Linked DNA regions of Lepisosteus oculatus. The main gene of each other region encodes a partner of the protein of the gene in region 2 in a complex. Links are inferred from orthologs where the notes say so. Each region holds a gene or a part of one and is shown on either strand. Other genes may lie near its edges.

Region 1 (7,709 bases), on a different chromosome or scaffold from region 2:
TGGAGAAACCAAAGAAGAAAATTTCTGTTGCAAATTCATTTTGCTTTAAAAACCTTGTACACATCTGAGAGGCTCAGAAATATATCAGAAAGACAAAGGGTCTGGACACCAATCTGTCTCCCCAGGAGATCTCTTTGATCTTTTGATCAGGCTGCTGAGTGAGGCTATATACACTGGATCCCTGCATGCAATGTTCAAAGAGCAGCGCTACCTCTGTTCTCTTTCTTTTTCTTTTTCCCATTGACAACCACTTTTGTGCAATATATGCCAGGGACCTGTGCAATACATTTATATTGGTTACATCTATTGGTTACATCTATGGTTACATCTATATTTATATTCATACGTGTGATACGATTTTCTGTGTACTGTTCTGTTCTAGTTTCCTCTTGTGTGTCCGGACTGTGAGTAACTCTTGTATTGTATTGTATTGTATTGTATGTATTGTACTATTAGTATATAATTCGTTACACTGTGGCTGTGTTGTGTGTGTTAAGCTGCTGTTGCACTGCAATTTCCCTCACGGGATCAATAAAGTATCTATCTATCTATCTACACCTTTTTCTGCTTTTCTGAAAGCCCATCTGTATGTGAAGGTTCACTGATGTAAGAGAGAACTTTCCCTTTGTTTTTCTGGGATTCCCCCAGAACTCCACACTGAGAACAATTCTAACTGCTAATCCTACAATGATGGACAGTATAACTGACGTGCGATACCACTGCTTCAAGAAGCTCAGGCTTTCCATCCCTTTTCTAACCACTTCATGCAAAACAGAGTCGTGGGGGTGCCGAAGCTGGAGCCTATCCCAGCAAGCAAGGGGCACAAGACAGAAAACACCCTGGACAGGATGTCAATCCATCACAGGGCACGCACAGACACAAACACACACACACACCAGGGCCAGTTTTCCCAGAAGCCAATTAACCTACCAACACGTCTTTGGGCTGTGTGAGGAAAGTGGAGCACCAGGAGGACATCCAGGCAAACACGGAGAAAACATACGAACTTCACACTGATAGCTCCCTGGAAACTGTGAGGCAGAAATGTTAACCACTGCGCCACCGTGCCACTCGCTTAAATAAATAAAAAAGGATCTTGGAGGTATTTAAGCAGGAGAGCCCTACAGGAAATCTACTGTAATGTGCCACCTTGCCACCCACAGTCACACAGGGAAACACATGCTCATGAAACTCTGTGGCCTGGCTGTAAGCCCCCGGCTGACCTGCGCGCAGGGGAATCCAGCAGCGAGCCATCCAGGCCGCTCATGTGCAGGTCGATGACCTTGGAGCGCCGCCTCTGCCTCTTCTCCAGGTCGTCATCGTTGCTGGGGCAGCTGTTGAGCAGCGGCTGGTGGGCGACCTGCACCACCTTGGCACGGGTGGAGGGCGAGACGAACTGCTTCCCGGGCAGCATCTCCGTGAGGACGTGGGAGCGCATGCCCAGGCGGGGGGTGGAGGAGGCACTCATCGCGGCACAGGCTGCCTCGGAGAGAGAGATGGCACAGAACAGCACTCTTAGACAACCCCGAAGCTGGCAATAAGAATGAGGTACGCATGCAACTTCATATTTAACAATCCCCATCTCTGAATTGGCTTCATCACTCTGTCCTCCTCCCCACTCATAGCTGATGTGAGGGGATCGTTCTGGCGCACTATGGCTGCCGTCGCATCATCCAGGTGGGGCTGCACACTGGTGGTAATGGAGGGGAGTCCCCATTACCCATAAAGAGCTTTGAGTAGAGTAATAAATAATAATAATAATAATTAGTAGTAGTAGTAATAGTAGTATAGTAGTACAGACCATCCCTCAGACAGCGCTTAACATACAGATCCAGCCCATATTACAATGAACAAATCTAGCATAAGTAGAACTCTACTAGAATATTTCCTCATCCTTGGAATATCTATGAGCTTTTTGCATGATATACAAGGTCTAGCTACAAAGTCAGTGTTTCCTCCATTTTATGGATGGCTCTTCGTCACAGTACAGTTAGCACTTTTATACTTTTACGACAACATGTCCTTGTCTGTCTGTTCAACTGAGCAATAATTACAATTAGTCAAGCTCTGTTACACAAACAGCTAGAACAGTACAAATACTCAGAATGCATTATGAAGCACAAGCTTTAATTTTCGACCGACTTCCTGTTGAAATCATAGGTAGCATTGTACAATTAAGAGTGGAGTAGGGATTAAGTACTGTATAAAGTACTTTAACCAGATTATTTCAGCAAGTCCACCTTTAAAAACAGGTAAATGTAACTTCTGTGAGTCATTTTCTATAAAAGTCAACCTAATAAGGAATTACACTATTATTCAACCCCAGTAAGAACACTGTTATGGACAGTTAAAATACAACTGAGGTTAGGACACACCGGCCTGACTGTTACAATAGAGAGTCGCCCAGGGACAGAAGAGGCGAAACATCCGGAGTGCGATGTTTGTTTTGGTCTGTGGTGGTTTCTACTGCTGTATTAACAATTCTACTGGATAATCGAGATACATTATAAATATAATTTTAACGTAACGAGCGCACATAACCGTGCGTACATTACTTGCAGTTTTATAAGCGATCGCGTCATATTTACTGGTTTTGCCGAGATGTAAATAACTCGAAACATCACCGAAATTTCTCCTCTGAAACCAATTTTTACGAGCACATAACTTCCAAATTGTTGAGAAAAAATATTGTTATCCCAGATACATATTTATTGGAGCTATATTTAAGTTATATAGCTCTGATTTTAAATTCCAATTACTGTTTTGTATTAACACAATTCAGATCACGCACCGGGATCAGAAAAAAAAACTTTAAAAAGCCTTACCGTGATCTAGATCCTGTTTAACCGAAGGCTATATAAGCCAACACTAAAAATAACAAGATTTAAAAACCCCAAAAAACACCACCAATAAACTGTTTGTGAATATGATGGATAATATGTTATACGATGTTACTTAAGATTGCTCAGTCCTCACTTTTTGAAAATTTGCGCCGACACAATTACGCATGCGCACGCACATCGGCGCGATCGTAAAACGTCATCACGTATAGTCAAAAACACGGTTCTCATTTGAGTTTCCTGCTCTGTAGGCAAGTGGGTGGGCTGTAGGTTTTGTGCTATTAGTAAATGCAGGAAATATTGTACAAAGGAGGCCCTGGCGCTATTTATAGTGCACATTTTCCCTTCCCTAGATATTTTATAAGAAATAGCGCGATAAAATGGTGTGCGGATGTTTACCTAATCCTTTATTTAACCAGATAAATCGCTTACGACCTTGATGGGAACCCCGGTGTAATATTATCTATATCTGTATAATATTATCCAGGTATAATATTAACTATTATATGGTATAATAGTTCTAGATGTATTAGTAACGACAGCAGTTAGCTTGTTTTCCTCTTAGAGAACCTAATTAGATTTTAGACTACACTAGGTGTTAGGTACTGTTAACATGACAATAATAATAATAATAATTGCTTACACTTATATAGCGCTTTTCTGGACACTCCACTCAAAGCGCTTTACAGGTAATGGGGACTCCCCTCCACCACCACCAATGTGCAGCATCCACCTGGATGATGCGACGGCAGCCATAGTGCGCCAGAACGCTCACCACACATCAGCTATCAGTGGGGAGGAGAGCGGAGTAATGTAGCCAATTCATAGAGGGGGATTATTAGGAGGCCATGATTAGTAAGGGCCAATTGGAAATTTGGCCAGGACACCGGGGTACACCCCTACTCTTTTCGAGAAGAGCCCTGGGATTTTTAATGACCACAGAGAGTCAGGACCTCGGTTTTACGTCTCATCCGAAGGACGGCGCCTGTTTACAGTATAGTGTCCCCATCACTATACTGGGGCATTAGGACCCACATGGACCACAGGGTGAGCGCCCCCTGCTGGCCCCACTAACACCACTAACACCATGACAGATTTGCATAACCTGACATCCCAGCTATCATCAGTTGAGATGATTATATGTGATAAGTTTTCATTACTGAATTGTGTAAGCAGCATGAGACACGCGTGCTTGAGTCTGACAGAAGAGGCAGCGTGTAAATAGTGGTCCTTTGGGAATCTAATAATAATTATTAATAATTGCTTACACTCATATAGCACTTTTCTGGACAGTCCACTCAAAGCACTTTACAGGTAACGGGGACTCCCCTCCACCACCACCAATGTGCAGCATCCACCTGGATGATGCAACAGCAGCCATAGTGCGCCAGAACACTTATCACACACCAGCTCTCAGTGGGGAGGAGAGCAGAGTAATGAAGCCAATTCATAGATGGGGATTATTGGTAAGGGCCAATGGGAAGTTTGGCCAGGATTCCGGGGTTACACCCCTACTCTTTTCAAGACCCTGGGATTTTTAATGACCTCGGTTTTACATCCCATCCAAAGGACGGCGCCTGTTTACAGTATAGTGTCCCCGTCACCATACTGGGGCATTAGGACCCACATGGACCACAGGGTGAGCGCCCCCTGCTGGCTCCACTAACACCTCTTCCAGCAGCAACCTTAGTTTTCCCAGGAGGTCTCCCATCCAGGTACTGGCCAGGCTTACACCTGCTGAGCTTCAGTGGGTTGCCAGTTGTGAGTTGCAGAGTGATATGGCTGCTGGCCATATCTGACCTGGAAGGGAGTGTAGGATAAGTCCCCAGGTCCTGCAGCAACACTGGACAATGTGAGTGTTCAGCCACTGTAGGCTTTTCACTGGCCTGAGAACACAGCCCTGTGCAAGCGCAGCTTTTAATTACATACACAGCCCCTCTCCGAGCACTGATCCTCCAGCCATATTTACCTGCATGCCCCAGTGGGCCCAATTACGCTCTGGGATTCAGAAGGCATGTTGTGTTTTTTTAACCAAGCCAACTTTCAACTTTTCCATTTCCTTAAAAGACTTAGAATTGCACCTGGTGAGGTCTCCTCAATTTGAATTTTTCTGACTGAAAGCCTGAGGGAATTTTCAATTTTGTCACAACTGGAGATATTGGCAGCGGGGGGAGTGCAGAGCACTGGGTTGCCAGAAAGAATTATTTTAGCAGAGTGTCTTTCAAGTCCCGAAAGGGTGGGTCCAGCAAGATTAGTGGATTTGATGGTGTCGAGGGGGTAACGGGATTGGGAGATGTATAAATGTGCCCCAATTACTAATTATGTGAAATATCATTTTTTTGCATTCGATACATCTAATATACCTTTATTTATATTTACATTATTTTATATAGAAAGAATTACAAAAAAATCTGAAAATGTGATTGATTTCTGCTTCTAAGAAAAAGTGTACTTTAGGTTGAAATGTAATCATGCCTGATGTTAGCTTTGATGCCACTACAGGTAGGTTACGTTTTGACTGTGGATGGAACCTACCTGTTAGCTGTCCTGGCTGCTTGGAAAATTACGTGCAATTATGCATCATTGCCTATAGGTGGGAGAAAACATGCAATACAGTTTTCCAAAACAGTTGCCTATTTAGTTTATTCTGAATGTTCAGTTCTGTCGTTTCTGGAAGCAGAATGATACCAAGCTGTATTAACACAAGAGTTCAATGTTCTTTACATACAGTAAGTCTGAAACTCAGTTATTAACATTTGATAATTTTTATGCAACATTTTTAAATGATCTAAAGTGAATTTGAATCAACTAGCTTTCTGAAAGAGAAGACCTTTTTAATAACCTCAAGAAGCACTAAGCAACACCTGATAATTTGTTGAAAAAAGTACCACGTACCAATTCAGTAGGATTCCTTGTTATTCTTTCTGCTGTTACAGAAGGGCTTCTCCACAATTCTTTTAAGAAGGGATGAAAATAATTACCAGAGATGGGTAAAGTACATTAAAGTATGTTTAGACAACAGTGCAATGCTAATTGTCCCACACGTTTCAAAATCAGCTTTGAAATCTAAGCTGTGGGGCACATACTGTAATAGATGAAAGAAGCAACAAGTCAAACGATTAGTTGAATGGCCTGTGTATGGGATAATAGTGGTTCACAAGATGTCAGAATAAACACACCTGGCTCTGTTGCGTCCCTTAGTCAGGTAATTACTGAGATGAGTGGTGGGTGTCTGGAACAGGCAGTTTTGACAAGCTGTTGGAGCAGACACTCTGGGATCTTGTACGGCAGAATTAAATTTGTGAATGCATTAGCTACTAGGACCCAAGTGGGCATGATGGGCCTTCTCATTTGCTGCCCATACAGTGTTCTTATATTTTTGTGTATTCTGTATAGGAGTGTTAAAACTGCCAGGTTATTTGTGAATGAGATCCCCTCCAGCACCAGAAATTGCACTGGAGTATATGGGGAAAAGACATCATCATGACCCTTAGGAGGGGGGGATCTGTAATGTTCTCTAATACACCATAATGCAGGATAATAATTCCGGCTTGCTCCAGGCAGGTTGGGCTCAGCATAATATTTATGGAGTGTGTCTCATTTTGCTTTGTGGCTCGCAGACGAGAGTTAAAAGCAGCTGCTGATGTACTGAGCATCTGACAGGCCATGGAATGATAGCTTCACTGAAGGGGTAATGGGTTATTAATAATTTCACATGAAAAGCCATCAGAAAACCCAGCCAGGCTATTTTGTTTGGAAGGGTGGTAGGGAATGACAGTTAATGATGAGGTTTGTTATTACCATCACTGCTTTTATTATAATTTTCCAAAATATGCTTCGAGTCCATTGTTAATATATGCTTTGAAAGTTTAGGAGAGGGGGTGGTGTGCCCCTGTTTTGGATCAGACATTTATTGGGCATTCCTTCTGCTGGCATGCTGTACCATACATTCTCAAGCACACACAAAATAAAACTCAAAGACTAAAGTTTGAAGAAGATTACTTTTGCTTTTGTTCACAGATCATTGAATTCTGCCTCCAACCTGCTCTTTTTAAAAAAATGGAGCAGTGCACCACTGAGCTAGAGTCCTCCAGTGTGCAGGTGTTTTTAGAATCAGCTTAAGTCTCGGTTGTTCCACCAATAAGAGCTCCAGCTTTTCCTCTCTTTGTTAACGTGAGGCAAACTCATTTACTGATAATTCCTTGAAAAACAAAACGCACTCGTGAGTACTCCTCAGATTATTTTTTTGTTTCCATCTGGAAACAAAAAAGTACGCTGCATCTAGAAAGCCTTCATCATATTTTTGAGAGTGCCTTAAATAAACTTGCATGTTTATGAATGCTACTGGCATGATAAAGCTGTGAAGTGCCTAGCCCAAACACAGATAGGCAGGAACACATACGACTGCTAGTGTCTCTCACTTAGTCTCATACTGCTGGCCCGTCCTTTTCAAAACTGTACAGAAGTCTCTGCCAAACAGCCAGTCAGAACATGCCTACCTCTCGTTAATGCTTTTTATTTACGTTACTGGATGCAGCACTTATTTTATTCAGGGAGGCATTCCTCAAAATTATGGGGAAATGGAAAGAAAATCCTCGCTTCTTTTTGAGATAACGAAGCATCCTCCTGCCCTCATGAGCAAAGCAGGGGCTGATCAAACAAGAGCAGTCTTTCAGCTCTCAGCATTTCAGCCTATAGCGGCGACTCCGCAACAGACTGTTTCCCTGCCCGTCGTGGCACCACGGCGCAGTAGGCAAACAGAGGGGGAGACAAGGAAGTACAGTCAATAGTTTCATGGGCACGCAGGAAAGCTTTTAGACAGGAAGAGGTCACTGTGCACTTTTAGCTAATTTGAAAAAGCTTTCTTTC
Region 2 (7,627 bases):
AAATCAAAATGTAGATACACGTATCATAAAACGAGTGATATTACCAACCATTAATAGTGGGGCAGTTCTCATTCTGTGGCTCTTGAAGTCTAGTCATGGCCAAAGCTGCTTGGATCCTGACATTTGGAAACTTGTCTTTCACTCTGATCAGCATAGACTCATGAATACGGTCAAAGAGGTCTTCATCAATTTGAGCATTTTCAGCCATGCTTCCCAACAACTTATTGATAAGCTGACAAACACGGAACCGAACTGCATGGCTGTTGGCATCGTGGGACTACGAAAATTAAAAAAAAAAGCAAAGTAAAGACAGCTGACCAACCTTTTTATCTAACTCAGGCATCTCATTAAGCCAAAAACACTCACAAAAACAAATTTTTAATAACATAGCATGGTGAATTAGCATGGATATTATGGTTCAGAATTTGCTTGTGTGCATAATCCAGAAATACCAAGATTTATATAAAAAACACAAAATAATTTGATATACCAGTTGAAGCAAAAAGCAGTAGTTCAAGTAAAAACCCACACTTTGCCAGCACACTGTTCACGAAACTTTTAAAAAGTCAAAGCAGTATAGTTTACTATACTGTAAATAGGCACCGTCCTTTGGATGAGACATAAAACCAAGGTCCTGACTATCCGTGGTCATTAAAAACCCCAGGGTGTTTCTCGAAAAGAGTAGGGGTGTAACCCCAGCGTCCTGGCCAAATTTCCCATTGGCCCTAATCAATCATGGCCTCCTAATAATCCCCATCTATGAACTGGCTTCATTACTCTTTCTCCTCCCCTCTGATAGCTGATGTGTGGTGAGCGTTCTGGTGCACTATGGCTATCGTTGCATCATCCAGGTGGGGCTGCACACTGGTGGCGGTGGAGGGGAGTCCCCATTACCTGTAAAGCACTTTGAGTGGAGTGTCCAGAAAGGTGCTATATAATTATAAACAATTATTATTATTATAAAGCTACACATTCATACCTTTAGCAAAAAGGTAAACAAGTAATTCAGAAAAGGGTTTTCTTCTTCCTCACTCTCTTCCAACACTTCCTCATTCTCCACCGGTTCTTCAAAACTTGTAGCAAACTTTGCAACAAAGTCGATCACATTCTCAACAGCTGGTTCTCGCTTATAAACAATCATGGGGTACTTCAGATAATGAACAAACTCTTCATGGAAGATGGTTTTGTCTTCCAGCTAAACAAAAAAGTAGATTACATAAAGGAATTATCGTTTGCAATAGTTATTTTTACAATTATCTCTTAGTTAAGACTATACCATTAGCAATTGTATCCAAAACAAAAGGGTATTACAAAATATTTACAATATACAGCTCAGCATAGGCAATTTTTAAAAAAGAAAGCCAGCCAACCAAATGACTAAATGCTTACCACAGCACCACTGTGCCACTCTTGTATACACATGAACTATATAAATAAAATCTAGTGAGATATTGCATTATAAACAAACAAAAGCTTTCAACATTTTGAAATGGAAAATGACATAGCTTGAACAACAGTAAGAGGATCAGGTGATATTTAGGACATCTCCATCCTGATTGCTGCACAGCGAAACATATTTATGTCACCTCTTTCTTAAGTGCAGGAAAAAATCAAAAGGTTTTTCTTAATTTACATCTTTAAATTACTAAATTTAATGTCATCTGCTAAACTAAGAATAAGAACTTCATTTCATGGGTATCTATAAAATGTATTGGACTGGGCCTTTCCAGACCAGGAGGTGAAATCCAATGTCTATAGTCATGTCCACTTTTTAGTTACAAATATGTTTTAATGAAATATACTAAAATGAATACAAAATATACCTGCTTTTTTCATTTCTAAATCTAACTGAAACCAGAAATAAAGTGAATCTCACAAAAAAGACAAGTGAATAATAAGCTTGCTGTCATTTACAGACGTTGCAGGTTTTAGCAATGGAAATGATGTGCAGTTAACAGAATAAACACATTAGCAGTTAAAAATGAAATCATTACCTCGTTATATTTGCTCTTCAAAGCAGCTACGAGTTTGGCTTTGTTGTTGTGACCCTTCTGAGCCTTTTCATACGTCTCTTTAATAATATCCTTGATTTCCGTCATCTTTGTGTTGCTGGGGGAAGGAGAAATGTTTCACAAAGGACCAAATTAAAATGAAGAATTAGAATAGGGAAGAGGTAACAAAACAAAAAGTGTATACATATATATGCCTATAATGTAATTAACTAGTAACCCAGACTAGTCATCGGCATTATTTTTTTGACAATTCTCCTAGATGTCACCACACCTTCATTTACTACCACAAAACAGAGAAACAAAATCGATAATAAGACTTGTTTACTTCGAAAGTTACAATCCACCTTTAAAGCCATTTAAATGTATAATTAATATCGATTAAACCATATCTTATGGCGTAAAACAGGCAGTATATAGCAAACGTGTTTTGAAATGAAATCGATCAACATTTAGTGTTCAGATTATAAATTACAATCTTTTGAAGTGGAGTAACTAGTTACTTTGTGTAAGTAGATTGTCGACGTTGCGGTCGTAGTTCCTGAACATTATTTATTAACGAGCATAAACATTTACCTACAGTTAGGTTATCCTTACCTAAGATAAGATGAAGACCGAGAAGATGCTCGCTGTAGTTATTATATGTCTATGTTTTACTCTACTGCCAGTTTTCGAATTTAATATCCGTTTAAAAAATAAAGACACATTTAAATTCCGGCAAGTCTTACCTCTTTTCCTTCCTCTAAACCGCCAATTTTCAAAAACAAGCCTTTTCTCGCGAGAAAGTAGACGAGATCTCAACTCACCCGGCCCCTTTTCCTCTCACACTCTGTGAAATTGTTTCAAGGTACGTTTCACAAAAAATGTAAATAAAACAAAATATACATAATACAGCGAACTTTGAAGGTTTATCTGTTAACAGAATGTATTACAAGAAAGCACTTGTAAATTAGAAATGGCAACAGAATACTTGGGCTATTACAATATTTCTGGTGCTGTAGCGTCTACCCGCCGCGAGGTGGAGATGTAGGACAGTGAAGCTTTTGGACTGAGTCGGATGAGTATTTTTGTATTTTCAAATTCAAATTCGACGAGCTTTATTGGCATGACCGATGCACTACAATGTTGCCAAGCAGAAACAAAAAAACACTGCATTTACATTACAAACATATCCCAGTACAGTTGCGTACTGTTACAGTTACAGTTATTTTAGGGAAGAATGTTTACCTAATCCCAGACTATTTCTCACAGTGCAACGGAAAGTGGATCTCTGTCACTGCTTCTCCCCGCTGGCAGTGGGAGCATAGCCTGTCCTCTCTGGGCATCGGGGTCTGCCTGTGTCCAGTTTCTATAGCCAGGCTGTGGTCACTGAGCCTGTACTTTGATGATGTCTGTTTCTCTATTATGCCTCTTATTCTGGTCAGATGCTCAGCTAGTGTGTAGCAACATAATGTCCGCCACTGTAATATGTTTGAACCTAGGACTGGAGAGCACAGCTATAACTGAGCCCTTTTGTAATAAAAGCTTTGAACATACAATTGTTTCATTTTATTCTTCTGAGCGTGTGTGAGCACATTTAACTGCTCAAATGCATCTGCTAACAACAATGCACAGTATGTATGTAAATACCTCAAGTAACTACGATTAGTTGATTTTCAAAAGCCATAGGAATCCAGGGTAGTGTATGAACGTTGATCAGAATTAAATTATGGGACACTGGACAGATATAAGCAGTGGAGTGCCACAGCACCATTATGTACATCAAAGGTTTAGATGTTACTATAATTAGAAAAACATTTGCAGATTATACACTTATAGGTGGAGTGGCACACACAGCGCCAAGGAAGTTAAAGCAAAGCATGGAGAATGTCATGGAGGTAACATTATGGAGAAGTTAAGGGAGCAAAATCTCTTCAGTCCACAAAACAGGATGTTTCTCAAGTGTATAGGGTCCTAAGTGGTACAGATATGTGTAACGCAGTAGCAAAACAAGGACAAATTGCCATAACTGTAGACTAAAATGGAAGGAGGGTGAATGGGAAATGTTTTTTTTATATACAAAAGAGTAATGAGTATCTGATCTTCCCAGCCAGGTTTTAACACCCAAACTCTGGAGAGTTCTAGTCTCCCTTAACTACTAAACAACCAAACAAGCAAGATAGCCAAATGGTCTCTTCTCATTTGCAGTCTTTCTTTATGCAATCATGTTGTAAACAGGAAAAATATTCATCGTAAGTAGAAGAACACCACAACTCCAAGCAGCACCCTTCCTGTACAGCTTTTGCTCCTCAGTCTGTAATTCCTTGGTCTGGATTTGTGGATTGGTGATAGAGTCAACCCACCTTGTTTGTGAATTGATGCTCTGTCAAGTGGGATTTACCCTGTATTAAATAGCAGATAAAATATTTTTTATATATAACATCCCTTGTTATCTTTAGTACACTTCATAGAAAATCATCAGGCCCTAAACATTTGTCTTATATAACTGCTATATTATTCACATTATTTTAAATTTCCAGCAATCCTTTAGCCTGTAACACTTTCACTTCTTCTTGCTAATACTATCTTCCTCGCCTCCTGGAGTGTGACTGCAGTGTTGGGGAAGATGGGGAGATTCGGAGTATCCTTCTCTTGTTGGACCTTCAAGTACCTAACAGCTACCATCCCACTTATAATTTGCATTTTCTATCAAAAATCCGTGAACAAACAAAAATAGTCTCATCCTGCCTGTTAATGAGCTCTTTAAACCTATGCGGTCAAGGGTTAGACAGAGATTAAGCACAGAAGCAGCCTTTGTTAAAGTAGTTCCTGATTTGCTGATGGTTTGTGACCTTCAGCTGCTTAATATTCTTCTTCTGGATTTAAGTGCAGCTTTTGATACTGTCAATCCAGGCATCCTACTAAATAGCATGTAGAACTATCTAGGGATTAACTAGGTTGCCTTTGTTGATTTGGCTCCTACAGTATATGGCTCCCAGGAGCAAATTTAGCGATCTGGTCTGGTCTGTTTTAAATTTAATGTTATCCCACTTACTCAAAGTGTTCCAACAGCTCTGTGCTATGAACTTTTTTTTTGTACTGTATTGATATTTTTAATCTTGGGTGGATTCTTGGGATTCACTGCTATGCTGACAACACTCCGATTTCCTTGCAGGTCAAATCAGATTCTACTGCGGTGGTTTCTGCACTCCATAGGGTATTTGTATGATATTAACATAAAAAAACCTGAACATTTTGAGACTGTGATTTTAAAGCTAAACTGTTTTTTAAGCTAACTACCACAACTGTTAGATGTCCCCCTCTTGTTTGTAAACTTTCTTACATTCTTGTGTTGTTATGTGTCAAGACTGTACTTCCATGCAGTTTCCAGTTGTGTTTTCTGGTTTGTGTTTCACTGTTGATTCTGAAGAAGTCAGTTTGATTCTGATATGATAGTTTACAATATACTTAGATGGGCTGGTTAGGTATGAAATCAGTAGAAAATTGATGGCTACAGCTTAAAGATATTCTGCTTGAAGCACATAATAGATTTAGCTCACAAATATAATACCAATGCATTCTGTATTTTGCCAGAAGGATCTGTATTAGGACCAATACTTCTAAATTTTTAGCAGATCTAGGTTCTGGTACATTCAGTGAGCTATACCATTTCCAGTTAGATGTGAAGAAACAAATAAAAATACTCAATGTTAGGATATGAAGTTAAAGTGTAGAATCCAAATCATGGGATATTATTTTAAAACTATACAATGCACTTGAAAGATCGCATTGAGAATACTGCATACAATTTTGGTCAGCACATTACAAAAAATGTATTTCTCCTCCGGAATTAATAACAGCAGGAGAGACCAGAAGTATTTCTGGACTTTCTGGGATTTTCCTACATTGACTAGCTAACAGAACTGAAGCCTGTGTGTTATTCCATTGTTATAGCCAGCAGCCATATCACCCTGCAACTCACAGCTGGCAACCCACTGAAGCTCAGCAGGTGTGAACCTGGTCAGTACCTGGTTGGGAGACCTCCTGGGAAAAACTAAGGTTGCTGCTGGAAGAGGTGTTAGTGGGGCCAACACGGGGCGCTATGCCTGCAGTCTATGTTTGTCCTAATGCCCCATTATAGTGACAGGAAGACTATTCTGTAAAAAGGCACCATCCTTTGGATTAGATGTAAAACCAAGGTACTGACTTTCTATCGTCATTAAAAATCCAAGGGCTTTTCTTGAAAAGAGTAGGGGGTCCTGGCCAAATTTCCCACTGGCCCTTACCAATCATGGCCTCCTAATAATCCCCATCTTTGAATTGGCTTCATCACTCTGTTTTCTTCCCCACTAATAGCTGATGTGTGGTGAGCGTTCTGGCGCACTATGGCTGTACATTGGTGGTGGTGGAGGGGACCTGGTTGCCCTACATTCTATCATTCAATCTTATGTCAGGGCAATCTAAGTTCTTCTTTATTGTTGTCCTTCTTTTACTTCTTATTGTATTTTTTTAAAATTTCCCAGCATTCCTGGGTTTCCAAAGGCTCTTAATTATTAAACATTGTTGTTGTTGTTGTTCCTAAAGGCACTGACAAAGCCAGTCCTGTGGTCTTCTCAAATGTTGCTTTATTGGCCCTATACAATTCCTTGCACTAGGATTTTGTCTTTTCGCATACCCCAGCTTGCTCTCCATGAGACACAGACAGGGAGAGAAGCTTGGGGTCAGAGTACAGGGTCAAACATTTATACAGCACCCCTGGAGCAGTTGGGGTTAAGGGCCTTGCTCAGGGGCCCAAGGGAGTAGGATTCCTCTGCCGGCTGCGTGATTTGAACAAGCAACCTTCCACTCAGAGCCACAGATCCTTAGCTATAGAGCCACCACACCGCCGAGGAGGAGGTACAAGTAAAAGTGGGAGTCTGGAACAAGTTACCCAACCCTGCCATTGAAACTGAGCCCTTGGCTTATTTCAGGAAACAACTGGAGGAAATCCTAGAATCAATTGTCTCCTATCAACCAAATTAAGCAAGATGGGCCAAATGTTTTCTTTCAGTTTTAAGATTTCTTTGTTTTTATACAACATTTTTTACCCTGCTCTTCCTATAAATATACCACTTGTATGTGCCAAAATTGTGGCGTGCGAATGGGAATGTGTAGGTGAATATTTTTTTCCAACTTTTTGCCAACAAGCTTCTGTTTAAAAACTAAAATTTAACCAAATTTAAAACCTTTGCTTTTAAAAAACAAACTAGACAGACCTGTACAGCAGCAGAGGTATCCATTTCATCTGATTAAATGAAAGGGGGCACTTGAATCCTAAATACTGTACATCTTTTTAGAAAGCAGTGTCTTTAAATTTCAAAGGTTTTAAAGAGATCTTTAAAAAAAATTAGCAGCACTTCAGTTATGGATTTCAACAGGCAGCACACATACTGTATACAGTATCTCCACTGGACTGTTTTCCTAAACAGTAGTTGGACAAATGCACATTGACTACTAACATTGACTAACATCAATGACGATAATACATTATAAAGAATTCCATTCCATTAGAAAAGGATGTGGAAGAACCAGCAGTATTACTCCCAGTTGTTCTGTTTATGTAGCTTGTTTCAAAACCTTTAAAATAGCTAGATGGATGA

Evidence for each region.
Region 1: the proteins of ncapg (region 2) and ncaph are in contact, whole or in part, in a crystal structure (PDB 6IGX), measured with the Homo sapiens proteins. The link is inferred for Lepisosteus oculatus from reciprocal best matches to the Homo sapiens genes NCAPG and NCAPH. Residues at the interface, in NP_071741.2 of Homo sapiens: Lys11, Phe14, Arg15, Gln18, His50, Tyr51, Lys53, Tyr54, Val55, Met56, Val57, Glu62, Ala64, Val65, Val68, Phe102, Ser106, Glu108, Ala109, Asn110, Ser111, Val114, Arg115, Ile149, Arg150, Lys152, Asp153, Lys154, Arg159, Glu188; in NP_056156.2 of Homo sapiens: Glu471, Ile472, Asp473, Phe474, Glu475, Asp476, Asp477, Ile478, Phe480, Val482, Tyr483, Phe484, Arg485, Lys486, Thr487, Ala489, Ala490, Thr491, Ile492, Leu493, Gln501, Asn502, Trp503, Ala505, Thr506, Thr507, Leu508, Phe512, Tyr514, Val516.

The regions. Positions count from the first base shown.
Region 1 is NC_090697.1:68,556,496-68,564,204, reverse strand, and holds the start of ncaph (condensin complex subunit 2), read right to left. Parts: upstream 3,019-7,709; 5' UTR 2,826-3,018; intron 1,484-2,825; exon of another isoform or gene 1,480-1,483; 5' UTR 1,469-1,479; coding exon 1,224-1,468; intron 1-1,223. UniProt on the Homo sapiens protein: Regulatory subunit of the condensin complex, a complex required for conversion of interphase chromatin into mitotic-like condense chromosomes.
Region 2 is NC_090696.1:11,304,024-11,311,650, reverse strand, and holds the start of ncapg (condensin complex subunit 3), read right to left. Parts: upstream 3,016-7,627; 5' UTR 2,738-3,015; intron 2,720-2,737; exon of another isoform or gene 2,607-2,719; intron 2,110-2,606; 5' UTR 2,100-2,109; coding exon 1,995-2,099; intron 1,196-1,994; coding exon 980-1,195; intron 278-979; coding exon 49-277; intron 1-48. UniProt on the Homo sapiens protein: Regulatory subunit of the condensin complex, a complex required for conversion of interphase chromatin into mitotic-like condense chromosomes.